3 linked regions of the Drosophila melanogaster genome follow. Changing the gene in region 3 together with the main gene of any one other region gives a genetic interaction. Each region holds a gene or a part of one and is shown on either strand. Other genes may lie near its edges.

Region 1 (6,152 bases), on a different chromosome or scaffold from region 3:
CCTTTCGCTGTACTTACCTCCTTGGAATGCTCCAGGAGCCAGGTCTTGGCGGAGGTGGCGTTCGTAATGGTCTCCTGGGTGGTGAAAGTTTTTGAGGCGACAATGAAGAGGGTGGTCTCGTAGTTGACCTTCTTGAGGACCTCGGCCAGATGAGTGCCATCGATGTTCGACACAAAGTGGGAGTGAAGGCCCTTGCCGTAGGGCTTCAGCGCTTCGGTGACCATCAGCGGGCCCAGATCGGAGCCACCGATGCCGATGTTGACCACGTCGGTGATCTGTTTGCCGGTGCAGCCGCGCCACACGCCGGAGATGACCATGTTGGTGAACTCCTTCATGTGGGCCAGTTCGGCGCGCACATCGGGCATCACGTCCTTGTCGTCCACCAGGACGGGATCCGTGCCGCGGTTGCGCAGGGCCGTGTGGAGGACGGCGCGGTTCTCCGTGATGTTAATGTGCTGGCCGGAGAACATGGCGTCCCGCGCGGCGTTAACGCGGCGCACCTTGGCCAGGGTGAGGAGCAGATCCCAGACCTCGTCATTGATACGGTTCTTCGAGTAGTCCAGCAGTATCTCGCCATCGTTCTGGGTGTGCAGGCGCAGGCTGATAAACAAACGAAAAACATTTGACCTCAGAGCAAGTACGATTCGGAGGTCGTTGCTGTGACCTTACGCAAGGACAAATCGAGTGGCGGCGACACTCGACAGCCGATGGTGAAAGTGAAAGTGGGCAAAGCGCAACTCGATGAATAAACGATTGCCGATGGGGGATACACGAATGAGTGTATGTATGCGGGAACTAGATACGTAACTTCCACCCTCTGAGGCGAAATCGACACAAAAACCCACCTGTATTTTGAGAATCTCTTGGAATCCTTCACGAACAGGTCCTTGATGTTCAGGTCCTTGCCCTTGGAGTCGTAGTACTCCTGCAGCTTCTGGAACGCTGCCTCCTGGTTGAGCGGAGGAAGTGGGCCGGCCATCTTACTTCAGTTATCCCAAGCAGGAACAGCAGGCGGATGCGGAGTAGAAGGGCAAGGGAGGACTATTTAGCACTCGATGCAAATTAGTAGCACACGGAGAAGAGAGCACAGGCGAACTGCTTCGACCGCTCGCGACACTTCACTTATAATAGCGGATCCGGCTGCTTAGGCGTCGGGTAGTTCCTATTATCTGGCTCCGGCAAATCTCCAGAGCACCGCACCACAACTTCGCCGTGTTTGCTTTTGATAGGTACTGACTGAGCGGCTGCCGATTTTCCAACGTCCTTTCTGGAATTCGCGAGCACCTTTCAATGTCAAATGAAAAACAAGCGAGTGTTGCCACGTCGGCCGCGCTCTTGTTTTAATGTGCCGATCGGTTTGCAGTGTGTGCGAATTTACTGTGTGTGGCCGCGTGGAGATGAACTGAGAACTTCCTACTCCTAGATCGTCTGCACCGGTAGGCAAAAGGACATAAACTGAAATTTTCAAAACGACTTAACCGCCGCTAACGGCATAATTTTATCTCGATGTGGCAGCACGCTCGGTGTTCAGGGCTGTCAGGTGTCAATGACTATCGAATAGCATTTCTATTATTTAATGTCAAAAATGTAAAAATAAAAACATTCTTAAAATTACTTTAAAGTTACCCGTTAAATTAGCACATATAAATTGAAAAATATTTGTTATCTGTAATTAGCTTCTCACAAAATATTTTTTGTTAAGTTCTCTGCAATCTTATAATTCTCAAGCACTTAATTATTATCACGCATTAGAAAATTAAAACTACCGGAGTCATTGTTATTAGAATTACTTTAGCAAACATTGTTGCTAAAGTTATAAGCGTGCAATAATTATTTTTAAAAAATAATACATTTCGGAAAGTAAAATATATGTGAATTGAGTTGTGACGACAGAGCTATGGTTGCGAGCCTGGCTATGTATATAGCTAACGCCAAATACCAAGATCCGTTTGGCAACGCTGCGCAAGTAGGGTTACCAGGTAGCTGAAACTCGCTAAAAGATGGCGACGCGCACTTAATTTTTGTTTTTTCCCACATAATAAAGTGTAATAAAACCAAAATAAAAGCAGTGCCAGAGAAACAATCGGAGGCGCTTAAAAAGTGAGAAACAGCACACGACCCAATCGACTGGCCCGGGCACGAAGCGAAACGCGAGTGCAGTGAAACTCACATAAACATTGACATGTCGCTGGCCCGAAGAGTGCAACAAGTGTGTGAAAATCGAATTGTGGCCGTTTAAAATGTTTGGAGGAGCAGTCAGAGCACCTGGCGGCAGCTAGAGCGCCCTCGTCGCCCCCAAGAAATCATAGTGTGTCTCAGGAAGCCGAGAGAATCGCCCCACGAAGCCAGGCAGCAGCGTCTGCACACGTAACCTTGTGTGCGCGTAGCACGGAAGCTGTTTGTCGGAATCGGGTTTGTAGGTATGTGGCTGCGAGCCGCCGCTTAGATTCGCTGCTCACCGGGCATTTCGCTTGCAGACCATTTGCAGGACGTCGGGTACGTCAGCGCGGAGGATGGACACCTCATCCGCAGCAGGATCTGGAGCCGGAACGGGCGATGTGTGCCCATGCTCCACGGTAGCAACCTCCACGACCTCCGCATCAAACGAACAGCCGCAGACCAAGCGCCAGAAGATCGAGCAGCAAATCAAGGTGGGCTCCAAGGCGCTGCCACCCCAGCCGCCCCATCCGCCGGATATACTGGACCTGGACGCCAACAGCAACAGCCACCTGTGCTCCTCGCTCTCCTCGTCCTCTTCGCACTCGCTGTCAACGCCAAGCACCGCCAACAACTCCCCCACCACCACGCCCTGTAGTTCCCGGGCGGCGTCGTACGCCCAGCTGCTGCACAACATCTTGCCACAAAACGGGGACACAGACCTGCACAGCCAGCCTGAATCCGCCCATGACGAAGTGGACAGGGCGGCCAAATTGCCCAACCTGCTAACCCTCGACACGACCAACGGCAATGGCAGTCATGCTAGCAGCAGGAGCAATTGCTTGCAAGCAACAACAGCCACGTCCATCGACGATATGCTGGAGTTCGAGCAGTCCCTGACCCGCCAGTGCCTGTGCGGCGTCTCGGAGCGAACGCTGCGCAAGCCCTTCCAGTCGCATTACTCACAGGACACCAACGGCCAGAAACGGATAGCCTACCTGCGGGAGTGGCCCACCAACAAGCTGCTGCAGTTTCTGTCGAATCTGCAGCTACTGTTCGATATCTACCTGAAGCAGAACGCAAAGGGCTTCATCTGCACGCGGATAATGGACGTTTGCGACGCACTCATTCGCAATGACCACAAGCTTATCGACGAGATTATCGTGCTGGCCGGCTACGAGAACTCTTACGTGCAATTTCTGGCGGGACGTGTGCTAGCCGCATTCCTGGTGATTGCCAAGCAAGAGCTGAATGACGAGTGGCTGCAGAAGATCGTCGACCAGCTATTTAACTTCGAGCAGCTTGACCAGGCGGCCGTGCAGAAGATCCACTTCAGCCTGGACATCATCAAGCGCATAGTGGAGTGGAAGGATATGGAGATCCATCCGCTGGACGACGACTGGATGGCGTCGGCGAATAGTACAAGTGCAGCCTCGTCAGTAGTGCCCCTTTCGACAGAGGCGTCCGTGAGCTACATGCATTTTCCCGTGCAGGAGCAGCCGCTAGCCACCAATTATTTTGCACTGCAATTTCGCGAGGATACGGAAGGTGAACGAGAGACGGGGCAGGAAGCACCTGACAACCGCGACCGACATCGGCGGCACTTTGGCGAGGATATGAACGTCGCCTACGAGCCGCACCCCGCTCCCCAGTCCACGACCATGCCCAGCGGTTGCCATGTGGTCACACTAACCGACTCGGAAAGCTTCGATACGACGCACCTGAAGTGCATCACCATTCAAAAGCTGGAGCACAAGTGGCCCACGCTGGTGAAGAACATGTCGGAGTTGATGGCGCCGACGCATCAGGATGCGGCCGAGCACTGTGTGCTCAACTTCTTGCAGCTATGGGAAAACATCATCTCGGTGAAGGCCAATCTGTCCATCGACGAGACGCGACCCTACTACGCCCAGCTGGACAAGTTTGAGCTGCTGCTCAGCCACAGCCTCTCCTGCACCGTGTACAAGCAGATGCTGTGCCTCTTCAACGAGGCATTGTGCTATGGTTCCACGCTGGCGCTGCAGGACATGCTGCCCGAGGAGACGTGCAAGCTGGCTCACCAGATAGTCTGCCATGTGCGCGGCTTCCGCATACTGGAGTCGTTGCCGCGGCGACAGCCGGACAACATGGTCAGTCTGATCGGCTACAATGGCAAGCCGATGGTGTACGCCAATGGAACAATTACCCTGGCACATGCCGCGCAATCAGGGGACAGCGAAGAGGACGGTGCGCCACTGGACCTTATCGAAATGGATAAGACACTGTTGCAGAAGATGGTGCTGTTGGTGCTGAAGTCGATAGCGGTGACGGTGAAGGAGATACGCAGCGATTCCTCCGACTCATCCATCGATTCCACCGACTACGATGCCTTCCAGGACATGATGCTCATTGAGCGCTCGATCCGCGATGTACTCAGCAAGCTGGAGACGTTCATAAAGCAGACGCTGGAATTCCATCCGGAGTGCCACTTCAGCAAGATCCTGATCCACCTGTTCGACGACCAGGACGACCACTTGATCGAGGCCATGGTCTGCACGCTGGACGTCACGTCTGGGATATCGTTCCGCAACAACGCCTTCCCCGAGCTGGTGGCCATGCTGAATCCGGTGTACACATTCCTGGAGTTCCTCAAGATGACATCGAACAGCTCGGACCTGCTGCTGGACCTGCTGGTGAGCAACGAGACCTGCTTCCTGCTCTACCTGCTGCGCCTGCTCAAGTACATCCGCATGAACTGGACGATGTTCGTGCACAGCTGTCACACCTTCGGCATGGGCAGCGCCATGCTAGACGAGGCGATGGGCGTTCTTATCCGGCTGCGCCTGCAGATATCCCGCCTCGTGTCGCGCCAGCTCTACCCCTACGACATTTCCCCCGTGCTGCGCCTGCTCGAGAGCTGCGAGAGCCTGTACGAGGGCAACGAGCTGAGCTGAATGCGGCGCAGGGACGAACTTCAACCACATGCAATTAAAATACGTAATTTATTTTAATATTTAATGGAATAGGAGAAACTAGCGCAAAATTCGATGAAGATGGAGGCCTTGTAGAATACGTGTATTAGCCGTAGGGACCAACCACTCCGACCATAACTCCGCACCCCGATCCAGTAGCGCGTCAACCGTAGTTAAGATCTTGCACCCTCTTCATCCGCTTCGCCCAGCAGGTCTTTCAACCCAGATACATACCCAGCTGTATGTAATTGTCATTGTAATTGTAATGAGCATCACAAGTTCGTAGTTAGTTCGTAGATAATGGTTATATCATAGGTACTGAATTCCAAACTAAACACTACGCTAGCCTAAGATTTTTTTAATCTTGCCCTAAGTAGAATAATGTACAATAGGATGGCAAAATGCTGCGGCAAACGGCTGCCCGCCGAAGTGGGCGTAAATTCGGTGTCTTCGAGAAGAATATTCTTTGTACGTTTTTTTAAAACACTTGAATAATATAACATAATTAACTGATTAAAAGAAACGCATTAAGAAGGACTACAACGTGTGCGGTTTCTGTTTCCGAATGGTGTGTTAAAATACTGTAGTCTCTTTGCAATTTCGTTGGGCTGTGTCCTGATCTCATCTGGACTTCTGGACTTCAATGGCGATTTATCATGCGGACGCGCCGCTTTGGATCAGCGGCTCCACTTGGCATACCACTGACTTCTGGTGGTGGCCCAGTGAGGCTTATCACCGAGCCGCGCCTGGCCATTTCCGGAGGATGTGGACTCGATACGTGCACCGTTTGATAGTTAATGCTGATCGGAACCGAGGAGCGACGGTTAAGACGAGGCTCTAGAGAAGAAAGTAGTTGGTCTTATGGGACGTGTCACTTTGTTGTGGGGACTCTTTACCGAAACGGGCTTCTCCGGATCCCGGCTTATGCGGATGCTGCTGACTGGGTCGGCTGGCCAAAGGAGATACCACCCTGTAGTGATACTCCTGAACCAGCGGAACGGACCTGGTGAAGCCTCCCTCATCGTTTAGCGTGTACTTGAAGCG
Region 2 (4,716 bases), about 10 Mb from region 3:
GCGTTTGGCACTCACAGAGAGACAGGTTAAGATCTGGTTCCAAAATCGTCGCATGAAACTCAAGAAGTCGACCAATAGGAAGGGTGCCATTGGAGCGCTGACCACATCTATTCCACTTTCTTCCCAGTCGAGCGAAGATCTTCAAAAGGACGACCAGATCGTAGAGCGTCTCCTTCGATATGCCAACACAAATGTGGAAACAGCTCCACTCCGGCAGGTTGATCACGGTGTCCTGGAGGAGGGTCAAATTACACCACCCTATCAGAGCTACGATTACCTCCATGAATTTTCTCCTGAGCCCATGGCTCTTCCCCAACTGCCCTTCAATGAATTCGATGCTAACTGGGCGAGTTCATGGCTGGGCCTTGAGCCAACGATTCCTATCGCAGAAAATGTAATTGAACACAATACACAGGATCAGCCAATGATACAGAATTTCTGCTGGGACTCGAATAGCTCTTCTGCTTCATCGTCGGATATTTTGGATGTTGACTATGACTTTATTCAAAATTTGTTGAACTTTTAAATATATCTTTGACTATATGTTTAGGCAACTGTACATACATACATATATAATCATTGTATTATACGAGCAATATCTTTCTGTGACTACATTATTATTACTTATTTTGGATGAAATAAAATATGTTTTATAATTAATGTGCGCATTTATTTGTTCAAACAAAAAATGCTGGTTGTGCAGCATTTGGGGATACATTTTGCGGACTCGATTTTCAAAAATTTCACCACCAGACAAATCAAATATTTTTAGACAAAATTCCATTTTAGTGGGCGATACAGTTGAGAAACTAAATAAGCTTGACTTGTTAAAACATTTATTTATATGATATTTATAATGAATGGCCTTGGCTTTTTATTTTACTTAATGCTTCCTCAAAGTTTCTGTATTTTTCACACATATATCTTTTTCACAATTTTAAACAATCTCATGGTGCGCATCGTCATTACGTAGACTGCCGATCACATAGCTCCCTGCTGTCAGACAACTTGTTCGTCAGAGCGTCCAAGTACGAACACCACCCCCAGCTGCAGTGCAAAATCGTGGCAATATTTTTACACCTGTAGTGACACCCGTGTGCATTAAAATCCGCACATAATTACAAACTCTGCGCGGACTGGATTGGAGAACGTTAGCAAAAAGAGGGCGAAAAAGCGGCCAAAAGGCAAAAAGCAATGCCACCAAGATTGACAGGAGAAGAGGCGCCCAAAACAAAAAGAGCGATGAGCGAAGCAAAATGTCAAAAATACCCATAGCCGAAAGCCAAAAAAGCCGGAGAGCGAGAAACTCGCTACTGTGGCTTTTTCTTTTCATTTTTTAGCAGATGCGAAATGTGTAAATAAGAAAAACCAAATAAATTCCGTCACAAGCAACACGTTCGCGTTGGAAGTGGAAAAAAGTGAATGAGGCAAGAAAACGCCGCGGAAATGATGGCCCAAGATACAGGGGTTCCCGAGCTACACGACCGCAAAGATACAAAACAAACTGCCGAGCCGGCCAATCAGAGGGCCGGAGACTTGTGCGCCGGTGTGTGTGAACTCCACCCCCTGGTCTCTGCGCGTAATGGCTATAGTAACCAGTTTCCAGATGGCACCGCGCATGTGCCGACCAGGAAAAAGCGTGATGGATGCGGTGGCTGTCGCTTAGGCCACTCCTTGATACTGGGTCCCAAAATCCCAGTTCAGTGCGTTCGGTGCTATTGGATGGAATGGTTGTTGGCTGCTATCTAGCTCTCGGGAACCGCACGAAGCTCCCCAAAAGCCCTCTGTCTCGCTCTCGCTACGAATCGGTTCGGTATCTAAAAAATAATATTTATTAAAATGACAGCTACAAAAATAGTTCAAAAATTTTGAAAACTAAAAAGTGATATTATTAAAACGAGTTGAAACCAAAAGTTTTACTATACGGTTGAGAAGCACTTTAGGAACCCCTGGAAACCCGGTTCTGCGCACCTCTTGAAGGCCAGAGAGGGACAGCTAGTGCCCACATGTGTATGAGTGCGAGTGGAGAAAACTATCTCAGACGAATTGCAACGACTGAGTGTGTGTCTGTGTGTGGCCATTGCAGCGATCGCAGCGACTCTACAAAACTCTACAAAATCAACACATTCCGCATACGCACCGTTGTACAGCGCGTACTTGCACTATTGTCGTTATCGCCGTTGTTTCGTCGGTTGTGTTGGCCTTTCGCGTCGCCATGGCTGCCAAAAGGTGTGTGTCTATGTCAACCTGAAAGCGAAAAACCAACTCCAAACACCACTTGACGGTTGAGCAAACACAACGGTGGCCATATTTACATTCGGATCTGGGTTCCCTCGCTCTCGTCGCGGTTGTCGCCTCTTTTCGCGGCCCACAGATAAGCCCTGACACACTGAAGTTTTACGCAAAACCCGCATCGCAAAAGTTGTGCCGGTTGAAACTAAAAAAAAAAAACAAACAAAAAGTTAAGCCAGTTACTATGAGCGAGTGCAGACAATAGTGAAAACGGTGACCCAAGTGATACCGGTGAAATTTCCACAAAGAACGCATATGTCAACGTAAGAGGAGAAATATGGAATACTGTGGTCTGTAAATGATCAACTTAATATGGTACGAAATTATCTTACACATATTTCTTACCTACATTTAAAAATAAGTGTATCCTTTTAAAGCACGAGAAAATCAAAGCGTGTCGTTATTTCGTTTTTGATACAACATGTTAGTCTAAAATACGAGCCTTTTAAGTCGGCAAAATGTTTACTGCAAGAAATATTTCAAATCTTTAATTGGCGGAATCGGAAAATATATTCGAATTTTCTTATTCATTTATACTTCCTAGGAAATTAGCTATGCGGCATTTCTTAGATGAGGATATGTAACAGCTTTATAACTTTTTCTGTTTAAAATATGTTAATTTATTTACTGACTATTAATCCTTAAAAAAATAATGTAAAATAATGTATGCGAACCAAGCCAATTTAGGTAACATTGTAGGACAGGTTGTATGTATTGTACATACATACAATACATATTGTCAAATCTCAATCGAAATTAGGTGGCCATAAATTTAAAGTGAAGGCCTAACAATTTCTATAAGAGCAATAGTAAAAATGCAGACTACAAATGAATTTCTGGCACAGAAAACTGAGAGACTAATGAAATATAAATTGGAATATGTAATTTAAAAATAGTCAAGTTTTTGACAGTTGCAATGTGAAAAATTGGATCGGTAATAATAAAATAAACATTGATTAGCATAGTAAAGTGACGATGTTTTTGTTTCTTAAAATGTTAATGAAGATAATGACATATCTTAATGAAGTATATACGTACATTATATTGAAATTATATATATTCAAAATATATAAATAAAAATTCAAAAATTATAAATATAATAATAAAATAAACATTGAATAGCATAGTAAAGTGACGATGTCTTTGTTTCTTAAAAGGTTAATGAAGATAATGATAACATATCTTAATGAAGTATATACATACATTATTCAATTTCACATTCGATAAGAACAGTGAAACCTCTAACTTCCTGGGAACTGAATCGTGATAACATTATTATGAGATTACAAAAATGGCTTTCCTTTCCAGGTTCCCAAGCTGAGGAACATCTAATACGCTCAGGAATTGAAATAGAAAGAATCTAAAAAAAATTATACCCAAGCTATGCAAGAAGTCTGCAGCTCCTTGGACACGACCTCAATGGGCACCCAAATCAAATCGGAATCTCCACTCAACCCGCTGCAGGTGCAAACTGGACAGACGTCCCTGCCAGTGGGTGGTTGCGGTGGTGCGGGCGTCGTGGGTGGTGTGGGTGGCGTGGGAGTGAGTGTTGGTCAGCCTGGTATCGGACAGCAGGGGGTGCCACCTGTGCCGTCGGTGCTCATGGTCAACAAGATGACCCCGAACTGTGATAAACGGAGCGCGGACACGGCCTATTGGATGACAGCATCCGAGGGCGGGTTCATCAATTCGCAGCCGTCGATGGCTGAATTCCTCAACCACTTGAGTCCGGAGAGTCCCAAAATCGGAACACCTGTTGGATCCGGCGCCATTGGCGGAGTAGGCGTCAACGTTAATGTCAATGTCGGCGTCGGAGTCGGATATCCGGTTGGCGTTGTCCCTCAAACGCCGGATGGAATGGACTCGGTGCCGGAGTATCCCTGGATGAAGGAGAAGAAGACATCCCGCAAGAGCAGCAACAACAACAATCAGGGTAAGTCCACATGCACATTACACTGGGGGAAGCATAAGGTTTTTAATTTAGCGATCGACCATGTCAATTTGAACACCATTCTCTGAAGAATAGGCGATAATCTCATCAGTCCATCTCAAACTATTGAATCAATCAAATAAAAAGTAAGATATTTTTATAGACACTTTTCCATATCAGTTTAGACCGGAATCAATTGGGTTCTCTTGTCCCGGCCATTTTTTCTTGCCGTGTACTGGCTGGTGAAATGCGAAACTCTCATTAATCACGAGCTCACAGAAACCTAAAGACTCCAATAGCGCCAATTATGCCACTACGAAGTCCCTCTGGCACCTGGTTTCGAAGTGATGAAGAAAGAGCCAGTGCTTTCGCTGACCATTTACAAAATGTATTCCGACCAAATCCCTCTACCAACACATTTATTCTCCCTCCTTTAATAGCAGCCAATCTAGATCCTCAAGAACCCTTTGAATTCCGACCATGTGAACTAGCAA
Region 3 (7,923 bases):
TTTTGTTGCTTTAGCTTTACGAGTAGTTTTGTTAAGTGTTTTCCTTGGTTTAAGAGTTAATTTAATTCGAAAGCGACTTCAACTATGGGGTAAACATGCACACACTCATTGAAATTTTTGCAACTTACAATTAACCATTTGCTAAAATCGAATCCGAGTTCATATTATACAAATATTGAATATCTCTGCGTGTACGCAATATACATATACATATATCTGATGTAATTTAGTTATCGAGTGCTCGCTTCGGCCGGAAATCAGCGCAATGTCTTAGTTTATATACAGGAACTTAGAAGGTATCAAAGGACACGACACGACGAACATTATACGACAAAATTTATCCTAGACTGCGGAGTGTGTCTTCTTGTTTGCGGAGCTGTGAGGGGTCCGAAAATTGTTAAACAATTTCAATTTGTGTTTCAAGAACATTTATCTGGGTCTAAAATGTGTTCTGCTGCTCAGCCTAACTCAGCCGCCTTGTGGCCGCTCTTAATTGGATAGGTATGGTAAAATCTACTACTCGAACGCGTGTATTCATAATTTATGCGGGGTTATATTCACTGACGTTTAAGTATATTCATATTCATAATTTATAGTTCGGAAAATTCATAGTGCTCGCCTAGGCTAATGAGAGCGTTGAGAGAAATACGTACATACATATATTTTCGTACAGTTGCGAATTTCAAGTGCATCTGCTACTGCTGCTGCTTACTCTTCATCTTACTCGTATCTATATTCAACTACCGAACTAAGCTGCATTATCGTGTTGGGGCTTGGATCTCTGGGATCCGTAGAACTGACTTAATAATAAACTGCATTTGCATCAACGTCGGTTGGTCACACATCAGCGACGCCTGCGCACTTCTGGGCAGTTGCTCATCCACATCCTTGCTCCTCATTGTGGTCACATATTCCTATCCCGCATGCTAGAGATCTCTGGTTTTTGTACATTTAACCGACTGAACTCGGCCTGGCTGGAATCGCCCTTCCAATCGCTGGACTAGCATGGAAAGTCCATGGCCAGCTCGTTCTTGATTAGATGATGGTGATTCGGATCGGACATGGGGTTGGGATTCGAGCTGGGGTTACCCGAACTCGGATTGGCTAACTGCTAGTAGGTGGCAAAGCCCATGGCGCCAGCGCTGCTGTTGTCCAAGGGTCACTGGTGCATCTTGGCGGCATGGTGACCCATGTTCAGGCTAAGGTTCAGGTGGTGGCCGCTGTGGTGCTGCTGGGTCGCCTGCGCGTGGTTGTGGTTGCTGCTCGAATTGTTGTTGTTGTTCTGCTGATTGGCCTGGCGCTGTGAGTTCTTCTTGTTCTTCATGCGCCGATTCTGGAACCATATCTTGACCTGAAAGGAACGCCTGTTTAATGAATTCAGTTCAAGTCAGTAGGTTTATGGACTCACCTGTCGCTCGGTCAGCTGCAAATTTCTGGCCAATTCCCAGCGCTTTTGCTTGGAAACATACGCATTGAAAAGAAACTCCTTCTCCAGCTCCAGGGTCTGGAACTTCGAGTACGGCTTGCGCTTTTTCCGGACGGACACCTGACCGGTCCACTCGTGCAGTCCGGGATTGGGCGTGCAAGGACCCACTGCTCCCACGGATAATCCACCAGAGGCTCCTGAAAACATCATCAAGTAATGGGGTTAAACTACATGGTTAACTTCATTAAACCGCAAGTGCGGGTGGTCCGATGGTTTTGTTGCTCGGTGTTCGGTGCAATATCAGATCGTTAAGTTTATAGAGCAATTACGGAAATTGTTTAGCAATAAGCGTAATACGAAATTATTCAATTCCTCATTTATGGCCTCTTAATTGGTGCGGTACGGGGAGCGGAGCTCCGAATTGGCATGAGGCCCATATTCACACTCGAGTGGATAACACTAAATGAATACATTCGTTCCCGCTCATTGGCCGACCAAATGAAGCAATTAAATTAATGTTGAAATAAAGTGACAAGTTGGATTTATTTTAATTTAAACGCTAGTTCAGCACGAGTGAAGAGCTTTTCGAATCTAATCTGATTTCTTCGATTAGTCTTGGTAGCATTGAACAGTTAGGACAGTTAGGTCAGATTGGAAATTAATTATCGAGCCTAAGAGACCTGAATTCCAATTGTAAAATTGGCTGGCGAGGTCACTTAACTGACATATTCCGCCATAATAACGAGTCTTTACTATGGATACCATGGATACTACTGGGAAAATATGACTAGTCGACAGATACAATTCTGGCAGTTGAAAAACACCTGGTGATAAGACACGAACATAAACAGGCAACCCCATAGAATGCAAACCCCAATGACTTTCGCACCCACATAAAGGCGTAACGCTAGCCAAATAGCGAGTATCGATTTATGGGCCGTTTTGCACTACGCTAATTGAACGACAAACTTGACGGTTTCGCAATTTGCTATTTCAACCGATACGACGACGAAAAGTCTAGTGCACATAGGAAAATCAAATAATCTTGAACTTTATATTGTAGGATGCTTAATATTTTAGGGCTGTTTAAATAATTGGCTTGGCTTTTAGGAAAAAAAATAATAGCACCATATAAAAAACACTTCCAAATAATTATCGATTCATTGGAAAATTTGACGGTCTATAAATATATATTTTACAATTAAAAACATTTAGGTGGAATTTGAACGCCTCTTTTTAAACAGAATTTTGAATTCGTATAATTTTTCACTTTAATTTAATTTCATATGAATAACCAAATATTTTATTAAAAATTTTAAGAATTGTAAACAGTAAATTTTTAATTTTTAATCTTTAAAATTTCTCCTCCCAAACTAGAGTTGCAAGATGCTCAAAATTATTTCCAGTGTGCCTAACCTCGTTACCCTTAAGTGTGCCGACTCTGGCCGGTCTGGACTCACCTGAGCTGGAGTAGTTCTCGCTGGGATAGCCGCGCAGGCCGCCTGGCGAGGAGTAGGTGGGCGGCTCATAGCTGGACGTCGATGTGCCCTCGACGGACTGTCGGGCGGCGGCGCTCACGTGGCGCTCCGCTTCGTTCATGTAGGCCGCCGCCGCTGCGGCAGAGGTGGTCTGATCGGGGCGGTAGTTGGGGCCCCAGTACTGCTGCGGGGGAGAAATGAGGTCGGGTTGGAACGAAGTTGCTTACAACTGATGTGGAGGCGTGGGTGGCGCTGTGGCCATACTTACACCAACCGGAAACTGCGTTTCTGGGTAAGGATAGGCGAACATGTGCTTGCGGTCGTAGTACCCGGAGCCGTAATGCTGATTGAATCCCTCGTCGTTGTAGGCCCAGTGTGCCGTGTGCCGCTTGACCGCCGCCGAGGTGTCCGTCTCGAATCCCGGACCGGCCCGGATGGCGGGTATATGCAGTGGCGCTAATTGTATGGACATATTGATGTCTGAAAGTAAACGATAAGCGCAGATTTGCTGCTGTTAATATTGGCACTAGGGCTGGTAAGTCTAATTTTAACGACTGTCTATGATCAAATCGACCTCCTTGATCATTTGGCATTTTATCACTTGGCGTGGCATTTGTGCCTATAACCCTTAGATTGTTTGTCGATGTCATGGATGTGGGTGCATTCACACCTCGTCTATATATAAATCTGTATATTTAACACGTGTCAACACTTAAGGTAATAAAATGGTTACCATAACGATTACGTTTCAAATCATCGTTTAATTTTTTTTTTTGTGTAAACTCTTTAAAAAAAAACCAATGCAGTTTTGAAGAACTTCAGTACACTCACAAACAATATTTTTAAAAATTTTTAATTTCCTTACAAAATTAAAGTTGTTACCACCCTGCAATTATATAGTCTATAATGATAAAACAGACGCAAATATTTTGAGTAAATAAATTAAATGCGTGACGATTCCTGGGAGAGTTAAAGAAAAGCCTTATCAGCCTTGAAAAACGTGCTGCAATCAGCACAACTGAAACGTTATTGCAACTGGGGGGAAAAAAAAACAAGTGGAACGACCCCGTTCCCAATTTAACGTCCCCAATTTATTTCGAGAGTTTTCCAGTTCAGATGTAGAAAATTTCAAAAAATATATTTCCCAACGATCTTTGAAAGCCCATAACCAATGGAGTTCCAATAAGAAATCCGCTGGTTTTCAACCCCAAGGAAAGTTATATTTCTGGGACCTCACCTTCCTTCTGAGAACTAACACTGGAGGGAGAAACACTCGCCGTGGTCGGCGCAACGATCTGCGTCTGGCCAGGAGCAACTGCAGCATTCTGCTGTTGCTGCTGCTGCTGGAGATTCGAGGAGGCGCCGCTGGCGACACTGTTCGGGGTTTGTTGCTGCGGCAGTTGCTGGTGGTGGGGCGATGTGAGATGTTGCTGTTGTTGGGCGGAGGGTCCAGTGGGTGTTTGGGCAGGACTGAGGGCGCCGGCCACCGGTGTTGTCGCCAGCTGTTGTTGCTGCTGTTGCTGCTGCTGTTGAAGTTGCTGCTGCTGCTGCGGAGCGGGGAGGTGTTGCTGCTGTACGGCGACAAGTGGCACAGGCGGAGGATCCTCGTACATAACCGCATGCGTGGGCGTGGAATGTGTGGTGGGAGTTGACTGCTGTTGCTGCTGCTGGAGCACCGAGGAGGGTGAGGAGGCGACGACTGCATGTTGCTGCTGCTGTTGCTGCTGCTGCAGGTGGGGATGCGCGCTGTGGTGATGGCTGGTGGTGTGGAGAGGCTGAGGCAGGTGGTGGTGCGCATGGTGATGCAGTTGCTGCAGATGCTGCTGCTGCTCCTGCAGATGCTGCTGCTCCTGCTGCTGCTGCTGCTGTTGCTGCTGCTGCAGATGGTGCTGCTGCATGACGGGCAGGGAGGGATGCGCCTGGGGATGCGGATGCGGGTGCGGGGCGGTGGGTACGTGGGTGTGGGTGTGTGTGTGATGCCCCCACCACGCCCCGGCAGCGGCGTGCGACCCGACTGCCGAGACATCGTGGGGGTCGTAGAGAGCGCACGCCAGCGGGATGGTTGGGGTTTGGGGGAGGGGTGGAATATTTACGGTTATCTTGGACGCGTTGCACTCGAACTGCGGCGGCGAGGATAAAGGCGGTGCAGTGGGGTCGATCGCCTCGACCCACCGACCTTTCTCTGTCTTTTTTTTCTCACTCCTCTGAGTGACGCCTTTCTAATTGTTTAAGTCTCTTTATATTTTTTTCGCGACTTAATAATTTTTATTTTTAATATTCAGAGCACCTTTACTCGAGTTTTGCCCCTTTTATTTGCGTACCGCACACGCACACAAACGTCCGTCAGCGGTCACACGCACACGCCGACTTACTCACACACGCACACTGCCTAAAGAGCGGGCGAAGAGAGTAACTTTGTTGTTGCACAGGGGATCGAATCAGCTTGAATTTCACAGGGTGCTTGCGGTCGTCAGCAACTCACGCAGTATTTTCAAATTGGCTTTTTTCAGTTTTCATTCGGTCAATCCAATTTTCCAAAACTTTTCCAATTTTTCCTTTGTCAGTTAATGTTTTCTTTTCACTTTTCTTTTTTTTTCGGTTGGCGTTTGTTTTTGATTTTCTTCTCTCTTTTATAATTATCATAAATAGTTTATTATTTGTGGGGCCTGCAGTCGTTGTTGTTGCTGCTGCTGGCGTTCGCTTTTTATGTTGCTGGTCATAAAATTTGATTTTACGACCAAAACAAACAATTAAAGGCAATGTTTGCAACAGTTAACAAAAATGTTATTATTTCTCCTCACAACGCCGGCGACACGATGTTTTGATTGTGTTTTTTGTTTTTTGATTTAATTTTTTATACGACTCCAAAAACGTTTCTTCTTTCAGTTAAATTTTTCGAAAATGTTCAACTTGTATTTTTCGAACCGTTCGAACGAAACACTCCCAGTCGAATGTGAATGTGAATGGACGGCGAGTACGAAATCGTTCAAGTCCCAGTCCTCGACGAAGTTGCAGGGCCGCTTGCCTCGGCTGTTGTTGTAGTTGCTGTTGTTGCTGCTGGACGCCCGCGCGCCTTCCAACCGAACAGAGCGAAGCACAAATCTACACTGACGGCAGCAACGCGCACGGCGACAACATATCCACATCGCTGGCACGGCACACCGACAACACAAGACCAAGACCAGAACCAGAACCAGCACACGAACACAAACTCTAAGCGCAGCGGCGCCAGCCCGCTCCAGTGTGTGTGTGTGTGTGTGTGTGTGTGTGTGTGTGTGTGCCTCCCCGTCCGTGTGACTTGGAAGAGAGCGCGGACATGCGCATGTTGCACAAGCACTCAGATTGATGGTGGTGGTGGTTGATGTTATGTTGATGGCAGTTGGTGCGGCTCTCTTGTGGCGCGTTATGCACACGTACACTGTATACAGCGTCTGTGTGGATCCCAGACTGTCAGCGAGTGTGCGTGTGTAAGTGGGGGGAGCCGAAGAGAGTTTTGGATGTTGCTGGGGGAAATAGCACTGTTTCAACTAGCGCCTTCAATGAGGTAAAGATGGTATCGCACTTCGACTGGGACTGGCTCTGGAATTCGCTGAGCTCAGCAGGTGCTCCAAGTCACAGGGGGTCATCGAGGGCGAAACACACACGCACAGTGTACGTGTGAAGGCATCCGCTCTTCAACGAACAAAAAACGCTCTCAGACTCACCGCCCGCTCTTACTGCCCGATTCTGGGGGCTGATTTGAATACTTAACACGCGCGCACCACAGCGCCATCTATGTCCGAGATTTCGATGGAATGGGGGCGGGGAGGCGTGGTAGATGGCACCACATTGTGTGTAGTTAGTTGGCTTGTTGTTGGCGCTTTTTATCGATTACCACAACAGCAGCAACATACAGAAAAACTCACTGCATAAAGACCATGGATCGCGACCAATTATACGAGTCGTCAAGCGCAGTGACTAATTAATGCTAATTAGTTAAACAAATACATGCGTGCGCCAGTTCAGTCAGCAAATTATGACAGCCCAATTGTTAGGAAACCCCGGGTCTCTTTTCACCCCTATCTCAACATCCTTTCTCCCTTTTGGCTCTTCTACAGATTCCCCTCCTTGTCTCACTTCCAAAGGCAGTTGCCAAATTTTACGCTGCAATGGACAATTATGGGAATTTTATGGCAATTGCCATTGGAAGAAAAGCAAAAGGCACGCAGTCGAGGCCAAGGAAATGTTAACAAATCGTAAAAAGGATGCGATGAGAACAACTCTCAACCCGTTTGACAACAAAATGTATGTACAATCGCATAAAAATCCATACTTAGCAATTACAATAATACATTTGAGCAGGGGCTTAAGAAAATGTCAGAAGTCATCGCGACTGGAGACGAATAATATTATTTCTTATGTGAAATCAGAACATTCATTTTTAATTTTTCACATCACGCATTTAGTTGAAGAGTCCAACTGCTTACATAACAAAGTTGATCAAGTAAACCCCAAAAAAACTTCAAGAATTCTACTTATAATAATACAAAACTTGTAATTAACTGCCGCAATCTATTTCCAAAAATAACTTCTTCGATTGAAATTATTATTCAACTTTTTTATTTATAAATAGAAATAAAGTATGATTGACATTTTTCCTATTGAACCACTCTGCTAACACGCAGAATTATTTTAAAGGGATAAACTCTCTGCACAATAGCATTTTATAATTATTAGTAGCATTTTAACGCCTTAATATTACATATTTAAATACATATCTGGCTTAAACCGGACTAATTATAATTTTAGCTTACCTGTGGGATGGGAACTGACGCTGGAGGGAGAAATGCTCGCCGCTGTCGGCGCAACGAGGTGGTTTTGGCCGGACGCCACCGCTGAGATTTGTTGCTGGGGTGGTGCTTGGTGGGTCTGCACCGCTGCTGAATGGGGATGGATCTACTCCACCGGTTTGCTCACTTCCAGTGACGCGTTCTGCAAAAAAAAAAAGATGCAGAAACTTGGTAAGTAAACCACAGCAAG

The links. Genes that interact genetically often act in the same process or in processes that back each other up.
Region 1: of Abd-B (region 3) and lin, changing one suppresses a phenotype caused by changing the other (phenotypic suppression), as found in Drosophila melanogaster (one study listed by BioGRID).
Region 2: of Abd-B (region 3) and pb, changing one suppresses a phenotype caused by changing the other (phenotypic suppression), as found in Drosophila melanogaster (one study listed by BioGRID).

The regions. Positions count from the first base shown.
Region 1 is NT_033778.4:8,912,588-8,918,739, forward strand, and holds lin (lines), read left to right. Parts: upstream 1-1,936; 5' UTR 1,937-2,420; intron 2,421-2,477; 5' UTR 2,478-2,513; coding exon 2,514-5,090; 3' UTR 5,091-5,647; downstream 5,648-6,152. Other genes in the region: Pgi (phosphoglucose isomerase), read right to left, coding at 18-600, 846-979; CG34219 (uncharacterized protein), read right to left, coding at 5,749-5,945, 6,005-6,152. UniProt on the Drosophila melanogaster protein: Has a dual role as a segment polarity protein and as a modulator of the Abd-B protein. Required for Abd-B to activate the transcription of genes (including ems, cut and sal) that are involved in posterior spiracle morphogenesis.
Region 2 is NT_033777.3:6,739,059-6,743,774, reverse strand, and holds the start of pb (proboscipedia), read left to right. Parts: upstream 1-1,711; 5' UTR 1,712-2,607; intron 2,608-3,600; 5' UTR 3,601-3,675; coding exon 3,676-4,225; intron 4,226-4,716. Other genes in the region: zen2 (zerknullt-related), read left to right, coding at 1-526. UniProt on the Drosophila melanogaster protein: Sequence-specific transcription factor which is part of a developmental regulatory system that provides cells with specific positional identities on the anterior-posterior axis. Controls development of mouthparts, and labial and maxillary palps.
Region 3 is NT_033777.3:16,928,230-16,936,152, forward strand, and holds the start of Abd-B (abdominal B), read right to left. Parts: upstream 6,014-7,923; 5' UTR 4,803-6,013; coding exon 4,142-4,802; intron 3,385-4,141; coding exon 3,173-3,384; intron 3,089-3,172; coding exon 2,887-3,088; intron 1,624-2,886; coding exon 1,409-1,623; intron 1,352-1,408; coding exon 1,160-1,351; coding exon of another isoform or gene 1,001-1,159; 3' UTR 1-1,000. UniProt on the Drosophila melanogaster protein: Sequence-specific transcription factor which is part of a developmental regulatory system that provides cells with specific positional identities on the anterior-posterior axis.